2 linked regions of the Arabidopsis thaliana genome follow. The protein of the gene in region 1 purifies or fractionates together with the protein of each later gene. This does not show direct contact. Each region holds a gene or a part of one and is shown in the gene's direction. Other genes may lie near its edges.

What was found.
Region 2: the proteins of ETFBETA (region 1) and ETFALPHA fractionate together in Arabidopsis thaliana (co-fractionation; one large-scale study listed by BioGRID). This does not show direct contact.

What each region holds. Positions count from the first base shown.
Region 1 is NC_003076.8:17,451,510-17,455,611, forward strand, and holds ETFBETA (electron transfer flavoprotein beta), read left to right. Parts: upstream 1-2,007; 5' UTR 2,008-2,053; coding exon 2,054-2,215; intron 2,216-2,294; coding exon 2,295-2,579; intron 2,580-2,877; coding exon 2,878-2,958; intron 2,959-3,061; coding exon 3,062-3,156; intron 3,157-3,356; coding exon of another isoform or gene 3,357-3,363; exon of another isoform or gene 3,364-3,376; coding exon 3,377-3,602; downstream 3,603-4,102. Other genes in the region: AT5G43420 (RING/U-box superfamily protein), read left to right, coding at 281-1,408; AT5G43440 (2-oxoglutarate (2OG) and Fe(II)-dependent oxygenase superfamily protein), read right to left, coding at 3,847-4,098. UniProt on the Arabidopsis thaliana protein: The electron transfer flavoprotein serves as a specific electron acceptor for several dehydrogenases, including five acyl-CoA dehydrogenases, glutaryl-CoA and sarcosine dehydrogenase.
Region 2 is NC_003070.9:18,877,309-18,881,855, reverse strand, and holds ETFALPHA (electron transfer flavoprotein alpha), read left to right. Parts: upstream 1-1,843; 5' UTR 1,844-1,916; coding exon 1,917-2,018; exon of another isoform or gene 2,019-2,319; coding exon 2,320-2,502; intron 2,503-2,580; coding exon 2,581-2,792; intron 2,793-2,859; coding exon 2,860-3,023; intron 3,024-3,105; coding exon 3,106-3,264; intron 3,265-3,372; coding exon 3,373-3,425; intron 3,426-3,512; coding exon 3,513-3,653; intron 3,654-3,740; coding exon 3,741-3,818; 3' UTR 3,819-4,044; downstream 4,045-4,547. Other genes in the region: AT1G50950 (protein disulfide-isomerase 5-like protein (DUF1692)), read right to left, coding at 1-5, 109-296, 544-601, 751-845, 990-1,080, 1,351-1,391; AT1G50930 (Serine/Threonine-kinase), read right to left, coding at 4,150-4,278, 4,408-4,479. UniProt on the Arabidopsis thaliana protein: The electron transfer flavoprotein serves as a specific electron acceptor for several dehydrogenases, including five acyl-CoA dehydrogenases, glutaryl-CoA and sarcosine dehydrogenase.

The sequences.
Region 1 (4,102 bases):
ACAAATTTTCAATTTTCCCACCAATCAAATTTAACTTGTATATTCAATTCTACTTTTAAATCTTGATATAAAAGAATTCTTGTAGTAAACGAGTCACACCGATCAAGAAAAATATTAATATAATCATATAAAGAGCCCAAGAAATCTCACCGAACTTTCATTTTACTCAATCCCTCTCTCCTCTGTTTTTCTTCTATACCAATCTTCTTTCTTCAAGAACTTTCAAAGTTTACTCTTTAGTTCTCCATTAGAGGATGAGATTCTTCTTATAAGTCAGATAATGGATCTATCAAACCGTCGCAATCCTCTCCGGGATCTGAGCTTTCCTCCTCCTCCGCCGCCACCTATTTTCCACCGTGCGAGCTCTACGGGGACGAGTTTTCCGATCTTAGCCGTCGCGGTGATCGGAATCTTAGCCACAGCATTTTTACTTGTAAGCTATTATGTTTTTGTTATCAAATGTTGTCTCAACTGGCACCGAATCGACATTCTTGGTCGATTCTCGTTATCTCGAAGGCGACGCAACGACCAAGATCCTTTAATGGTTTACTCTCCAGAGCTTAGAAGCCGCGGTCTTGATGAATCCGTCATTAGAGCAATCCCAATCTTTAAGTTCAAGAAGAGATACGACCAAAACGACGGCGTTTTTACAGGAGAAGGAGAAGAAGAAGAAGAGAAGAGATCTCAAGAATGCTCTGTTTGTTTGAGTGAGTTTCAAGATGAGGAGAAGCTGAGGATTATCCCAAATTGTTCTCATTTGTTTCATATCGACTGTATCGATGTGTGGCTTCAGAACAACGCCAATTGTCCTTTGTGTAGAACTAGGGTTTCTTGTGACACAAGTTTTCCTCCGGATCGGGTTTCTGCGCCGAGCACTTCTCCCGAGAATCTGGTCATGTTAAGAGGTGAGAACGAGTATGTGGTCATTGAGCTGGGCAGTAGCATCGGTAGTGACAGAGATAGTCCAAGACACGGAAGGTTACTTACGGGACAAGAAAGGTCAAATTCAGGTTATCTACTGAACGAAAACACCCAAAATTCGATCAGTCCATCTCCGAAGAAGCTTGACCGCGGAGGGCTTCCAAGAAAATTCCGAAAGCTTCACAAGATGACGAGTATGGGAGACGAATGCATCGACATAAGAAGAGGTAAAGACGAACAGTTCGGTAGTATTCAGCCCATTAGAAGATCAATCTCAATGGATTCATCGGCGGATAGACAGCTTTACTTGGCGGTTCAAGAGGCGATTCGGAAAAACCGCGAAGTTCTGGTGGTTGGAGACGGAGGAGGATGTAGCAGTAGTAGTGGCAATGTTAGTAATTCCAAAGTGAAGAGATCTTTCTTCTCTTTTGGGAGCAGTAGACGTTCTAGAAGTTCCTCTAAATTGCCACTTTATTTTGAACCCTAATAAGCCGCTTTGCTTATTTGTTTTATTTTCTTGTTCCTTTCTACATTTGATTTCTATTATTTCATTTTCAAATATTTTTGAGATGGATTTTTAAAATTATTTGGTCGGTGAGGTAGGAGAGAATATAGACGTGTTTAGATTTAGAAGTCAAAAAAGTTGAGTTGTATTATGTGTGACAGAGAAATTATGGACAAGTTTGAAAAACTTAAAATTATTTCTTTTAAACATAAAACTCATGGAGGGCTTCACACTTCTACGTCAAAATCTCCTCCTCATATAATCAATGATATCCAAATTACAAAGAAACCATAATCTCCTTGAAAACATCTATCTGATGTTTTTTGTTGTGTTAAAGCAAACATCATATAAATTCATCTTGATTTGGATAGAACATTCAAATGCCAAAACGAAAAATACCATCCATGATTTTTAAGGATTTAACAAACTTGGTAAGTCTCTTTGTACTAAATCAGACTTTACTAGTGTTGTTGAAGTAATGGACTCTGATCCACTAAGACCTATTATGGTATGTTGTATTGTATGACCCATTTTTTCAATTATTTTTTTCGGCCTAAACCAGCCTTTTACAGAAGCAAAAGGAAAAACTGAAACCCGAGACATCTAAACCGGATTAAACCGAATACCATGCCATTTCTTTTTGATGAGTCATCATCACCATCCTTTAGATCCAGAAATCAAAATTGCTTACTGCTTCATTTGTTCTGCTGTTCCCGGCCAATGAAGATTCTCGTCGCCGTTAAACGTGTCGTCGACTACGCCGTCAAGATCCGAGTCAAACCCGATAAGGTACACGCATAACCCATCTCTAAATCTCTCTGTAACCATTGAATCACCGTTAAATTTGATTCCTTTATCGTTGAATCAGACTGGTGTAGAAACCCAAAATGTGAAGATGTCAATGAATCCATTTTGTGAGATCGCGCTTGAGGAAGCGCTTCGAATCAAAGAAGCTGGTTTTGCTAAAGAGGTTATTGCAGTGAGTATTGGACCTTCACAATGTGTGGATACACTTCGTACTGGTTTAGCTATGGGTGCTGATCGAGGAATCCATGTTGAGACCAATTCTATTTTTCTTCCTTTGACGATTGCTAAGATCTTGAAGAGTTTAGCTGATGTTGAGAATCCTGGATTGATTTTCTTAGGGAAACAGGTATGTTTGGCTCTGATTTGCTTGTCAAGTTTTGAACTTTGGTTGTGTATGCGTCAAATCTCTAGATCTTGTTTTAGTGTACTGAATCTTAGCTAAAGTTGAGGTTTTTCAGGTTTTAGAATGCAAAAGATTCGTGTTTTGACTCGTGTGTTGTGGATTGTTTAGGATGATGAACATTGATCTTTGTAAATTCTTGAAAACTGTCTTAAAATGTCTTGAATAATGTTGAGTTTGCATAATGTTTTGATGAGGTTTGATGTGAAGGTTACTGATTTATAACGTTATTTTTTTTCTGTAGGCGATAGATGATGATTGCAATCAAACAGGACAGATGGTTGCAGCTTTACTTGGTTGGCCACAAGCAACGTTTGCATCGAAGGTAACAGAGTAGTTCCCTCGACTACAATCATATGTTATCTTTTGTCTCTGCTCTCCAAGTTGTGAGTAGTTTTTTATGTGCTCTGCTCATTGTTGTTTAGTAGGTTGTGTTGGATAAAGATAAGAATGTTGCAACCGTGGATAGAGAAGTGGATGGAGGTCTTGAGACTCTTAATGTAGACTTACCCGCTGTGATAACGTAAGTTCTAGATTCTTAGATGATTGTGTCATGATCTCTCTCGAGTTGAGGTTTATATATATGCATCAACTAACCTGCATATGTCAATTTGTTCACTGCATTCTTTGTGGAACTTTTTTTGTGATCACTCAAATTATTAAGCAAACTAGCAATTAAGCTTTAATAGAAAGGTGCAACAACTCTTGTTTTGTTTGTAACAGCTCTTGATGTTACAATGCAGAACTGATTTGAGGCTGAACCAACCAAGATATGCATCACTCCCTAACATAATGAAGGCAAAATCAAAGCCTATAAAGAAAATGACGGTGCAAGATCTGAAAGTAGACATTAAATCCGACATAGAGATCTTGGAAGTCACGGAGCCTCCAAAGAGGAAATCTGGGGTTATGGTTTCTTCGGTGGATGAGTTGATAGATAAACTTAAAAATGAAGCTCATGTTGTTTGAAGGAAGAAACATTTGTCTTTTTCCCATTCTGCTACACACTTCTTTCTTCTTATCTACGTTGCTGTTTCAGGCATCAAGTGGAAGTAAATAAATAAATCAAGTGTGGATCTTGTTATTCAGTAATTCAATGTCTTCACTGTAAAAAATTCTTTCTTATTAACAAAATAGTTGATGTCCTCTCGAGCGAGAAGAGAGCAGCAAAACACACATATCTGTTTTTAACTAAGCCATACAAGTAATTTCTTCATATCCGGAACTTAGACAAATGCGATTTTCCATCGAAGATGCTTGCTAGGTATCCTACAGTGTATTCTGGTATAGTGATGTCTCTGTACTTTGCAGGGTTTTCATCAGAAAGAAGCTCTTTTATCGGTCCATAAACAGTGGAATTTGGAAACACTCCCGAGCTAACGAAGCAAGCAACTGAAATCCGCGGTCCATCTCTGTTTGCCCGTACCCTATGCTCCATACTTAAGAACTTATCGTTTGTGATCAGCTGC
Region 2 (4,547 bases), on another chromosome or scaffold:
GAAAACTGCATCAAGAAAGTCCAATTTCATTCATTCATCTTTAAGCCCCTTGGACAGGTACTCATATATAGTATAGTATACACAAAATAGATTAAGTTGCCAACTTACTGATGTGTAAACTTCTCAAAAGCAGCACCAGTTAAGGGTATATCCGCATAAGTACTATTGTCACCATGATCTTCGTCTCCATGGTTGATGAGATGTAAATCAGAGGTGGAGTGAAATTCCTCAGCAGTGGCTCTTAAATGCGGATCAATTGGAACTTTTCTAATCGTTTTCGATATATTTAACCTGTGCTGAAGAAGTTTATAACAAAACTTAAACATAGGAAATGACATAATCATTGTCATTGCACAACAAAAGTTAAACATCCTAGCATGAGAACTTATAACATACATTTGCTGTAACAATAAATAATGTCAAAACTTTTGCTTTTTTTTCTTTCCTTTTGTGTTTATAAAACAGCTAAGAGACAATGTATGCACGCAGTGCAAAATGGGATCTTAGAAACAGAAATACTTAGAATTGGAAACCGAAACTTACAGTTCCAAACACGTCACTCACGTCAACTGATGCGAATTCACATGAGAGGGCAGGAAAGCTACAAGAAATAAGTCAAAACCAAACATCAATTTATGAAGACACCGCCACTATTGTAGAGAGATTGAAACACAAACAGACAAAAGAAAAGAACAATGGCATGTTGGCATTGTTTATTATAACCAATACTAACACATGAATTCCATTTACCTGATGTTAAAATCAATGTTTAAGAAGTCCCCATCAGAGCTTTTGTCAACTATTACAGATGTGCTAGTGTTAATAGCCAAATAACTACTCAGCTCCTGAAAGTTAAATAATCAACCAAAATCATTGGATATACGGTATTTTTCACTTACACAGAGGAAGAAGCAAAAGATACAAGAATCAGAAAATATGAGATTGTGAAGAAGAAGAAGAAGAAAACAGGGCAGAGATTAGTTTACTACCATTCCAAACAAAAACAACATAGCAAGGGCAGCTACAATGGATAATCCAGCACCAGAGAGAGATGCTTCAGTCAAATCTCTTGGGATTTTCCTGAAGAAACAAATGGAACTCAAATTACTCTCAGCTCTAACTCCAGACAACACAAACACACAGTTCACAGAGTAATTATCCGTAATCCGATGCACAGTTCATCATCAAGATGAAAAACGAGAAGACAGAACCAATTTCGAATTATCAAAAAGGCAAAATCAAACACATACAGTCGAAAATGTATAGAAAGGTACAAACTTTTGCAAGTGCGTCAAAAACCATTATCGAGAGAATTATCATTGGAATTGTTACACGAAAGAGGGTTCCCACCTGTAGAAATCAACGGACTTGATCTTGGAGGTTGAAACCATGGCTGTAACAAAGAAGAAAGGATTCTAACAAAGAAAAAAACAGATCTTGACAATGAGCTCTCTTTCTCTATCTCTGTATCTAGGATTTTGTTCTTAAAGCCGTCGTGATCCCACTTTGCTTAACTATGGGAACTCTACACGAAAAAGCTCAAAAAGACAGATTTTTTTTTGGCAGGAAGAATTCTAATCCTTTAAAGGTTAGATTTTTATTTTGTTCTCTTTCAGGAATCATCATCGTACCATAAAAATTAGAAAATTAGAATATGGAAGTTGTGAAATCTGTCGAATCTAATCTACTACAAATGGAAATGAAGTAATCAGCTTCGATCTTTGACCATCCTTAAAGTTCAAACAATTATTAATTCCTTTAAAAATGATACAATTAGCTTTATCATAAACGACGTAGTTCCTATAGCAATAAGAAATTGTTATAAACGACGACGTTTGCCATAGTTCGCTTATTTCTTTCTTTTTGCGAGAATTCTGAAATCTGAAGGAGAGAGAAACCAATCAGAAGAGAAAACGATGACGAGAACTGTTCTACTGAGAGCTCTGACGAAGAATAAGTTCGTCGCCTCTAATGCTCCTCGATCTATATCCATTTCCATCACCAGTCTCTCTAGATGCGTATGATCTTTTATCTCCTACCCATTTTCCTTCAGTTCGATCTTTTGTTTTTGCTGGAATCGATCATTCATTTTCGTCGTGACCAAATTCGATTTTTTCATATTAAAAATGAATCGGAAGTGGTAAAGGAGCATTCTTTGTGGTGGTGATTTCAATTTTATCATTCTACTTGGTTTGAAAATTTTCAATTTGTGAAGCTTCTATATATATATATATATTGAGATAATCATTTTGTTGTTGTTATGCTGAGAAATTCACAATAACACTTTTGTGTTGTGTACATTTTTGTTGTTGTATATAGATTAGCACTCTGATTCTAGCAGAACATGAGAGTGGTACAATCAAACCTCAGACAGTGAGTACAGTAGTTGCAGCTAATTCATTAGGTGAGAGCTCTTCAATTTCTTTGTTATTGGCTGGTTCTGGTTCTTCTCTTCAAGAAGCTGCTTCTCAAGCTGCCTCTTGTCATCCTTCTGTTTCCGAGGTAAGCTACAACATTCTCCCTTCTCTTCATTTGCTTTCTTTTGGTTTTGTGGTCTCAGTGTTGGTACTTTTTCTGTAGGTACTTGTTGCTGATTCTGATAAATTTGAGTACTCTTTAGCTGAGCCTTGGGCTAAATTGGTTGACTTTGTTCGGCAACAAGGAGATTACTCACACATTCTTGCTTCCTCTAGTTCATTTGGCAAGAATATATTACCCCGTGTCGCTGCTCTTTTAGATGTTTCTCCTATTACTGATGTTGTCAAAATCTTAGGATCTGACCAGTTTATCAGGTACATTCCAACTCTCTCTCGTTCTCGTTGAACTGTGAACTGAAACCAAGATTTTTATCTGTGTCAGGCCTATTTATGCGGGAAACGCTTTGTGTACAGTTCGTTATACTGGTGCGGGTCCTTGTATGTTGACTATTAGATCTACATCTTTTCCTGTCACCCCGATTACAGCAAACTCAGAGTCAAAGAAAGCTACTGTCTCTCAGATTGATCTCTCAAATTTTGAAGACGGTCCGTTTAGTGTTTCTCTTATGTATTCGTGTTTTCGTCGGTGGTTCTTTTTTGTGAATGGTTTTGCTATTCTTCACTGCAGACTCTGTCAGCAAATCTAGATATGTGGGACGTTCAACTCAGGATACAGAACGGCCTGATCTTGGAAGTGCACGTGTTGTGATCACTGGTGGAAGGGCGTTGAAGAGTGTTGAGAATTTTAAAATGATCGAAAAGCTTGCAGAAAAACTTGGTGGAGCAGGTTAGTTATACATGCTTATCCTAATCACCAGTGAGTGTGGAGAAATTGTTTTATCTCTCAAGTGAATGTGCTTCGAAATGTACGTGTATAACTGTTTCATTTATACAGTGGGCGCTACTCGTGCTGCTGTTGATGCTGGATATGTTCCTAATGATCTTCAGGTAAGATTTGGTGGATCTTCGCTTGATTATTCCTTCCATTTTACGGCTTTAAAACTCAAATAAGAGTTTGTTTGTTTGCATCTTTAGGTGGGGCAAACAGGTAAAATAGTAGCACCAGAGCTATACATGGCATTTGGTGTTTCAGGAGCCATTCAACACTTAGCTGGAATTAAGGATTCTAAGGTGATTGTTGCGGTTAATAAAGACGCCGATGCACCTATTTTCCAGGTAACAAACACACTTGACACGGTTCTTCTCTGTCAATTTAAGTTAGGACCAAAGTATTCTAAAAAACGTTTGGCTATGAAACTGTAGGTAGCTGATTATGGACTCGTTGGAGATCTTTTCGAGGTGATACCGGAGTTGCTGGAGAAGCTTCCAGAAAAGAAATGAGACCCCGAGAGACCGAAACTCGTCTCTGTTTATCATCTCTTAAGCTCTCTGTATTTTGAGGTGCAGACCATAGTAAGTAGTGTATATAGCAAAACTGTAATAAAAAACGGTCTGGAGAATCTTTGTCATAAGCTTTAAGGTTAAGCTCTCACGTTTCTAACATTCCAACGAGTCTGACAAACAAAAGCAAAGTGTTTAACTCTCAATAAGAATTCGATTTTCTATACATTTTACTTGTCAATCAATCATAGTAACAATTTTACATCAAAGAATCAGAAGAATAAAAAATAATAATAACAGTTAAAACTTAGAGAGTAAAATAAAAGAATCATCAAGCAATAAAGTTAGATAACATGGATAAAGGAACTACACAAAGTCCTCTCTTCTTCAATTCTGCAGAGAATTCTTCATTCATAATTTCTTTTATCTTTGATCCTGTTTCTGTTATGCATCCAATTTCCTATAAATTCCCGGAAAAAAAAAGAACTTGTTGTTAGTACTGGAAAATCGAATTTAGTTTTTTCTGGAAAATATTAGTTTTCATGCAAGAAATGTTTATTTTTTTGTTGGATAAAGGGTTTCTTATTACCTCGGATGTAACATTGTCCATGGTTTTTCCATATCTTGTATTATCATTAGCATGGTCCAAGACACTAAAAATCTATTAAAAAAAAGAAAAAAATGTTAGAAAAATTAACAAAAACAACAAAACCAATTCTACAAATTAAG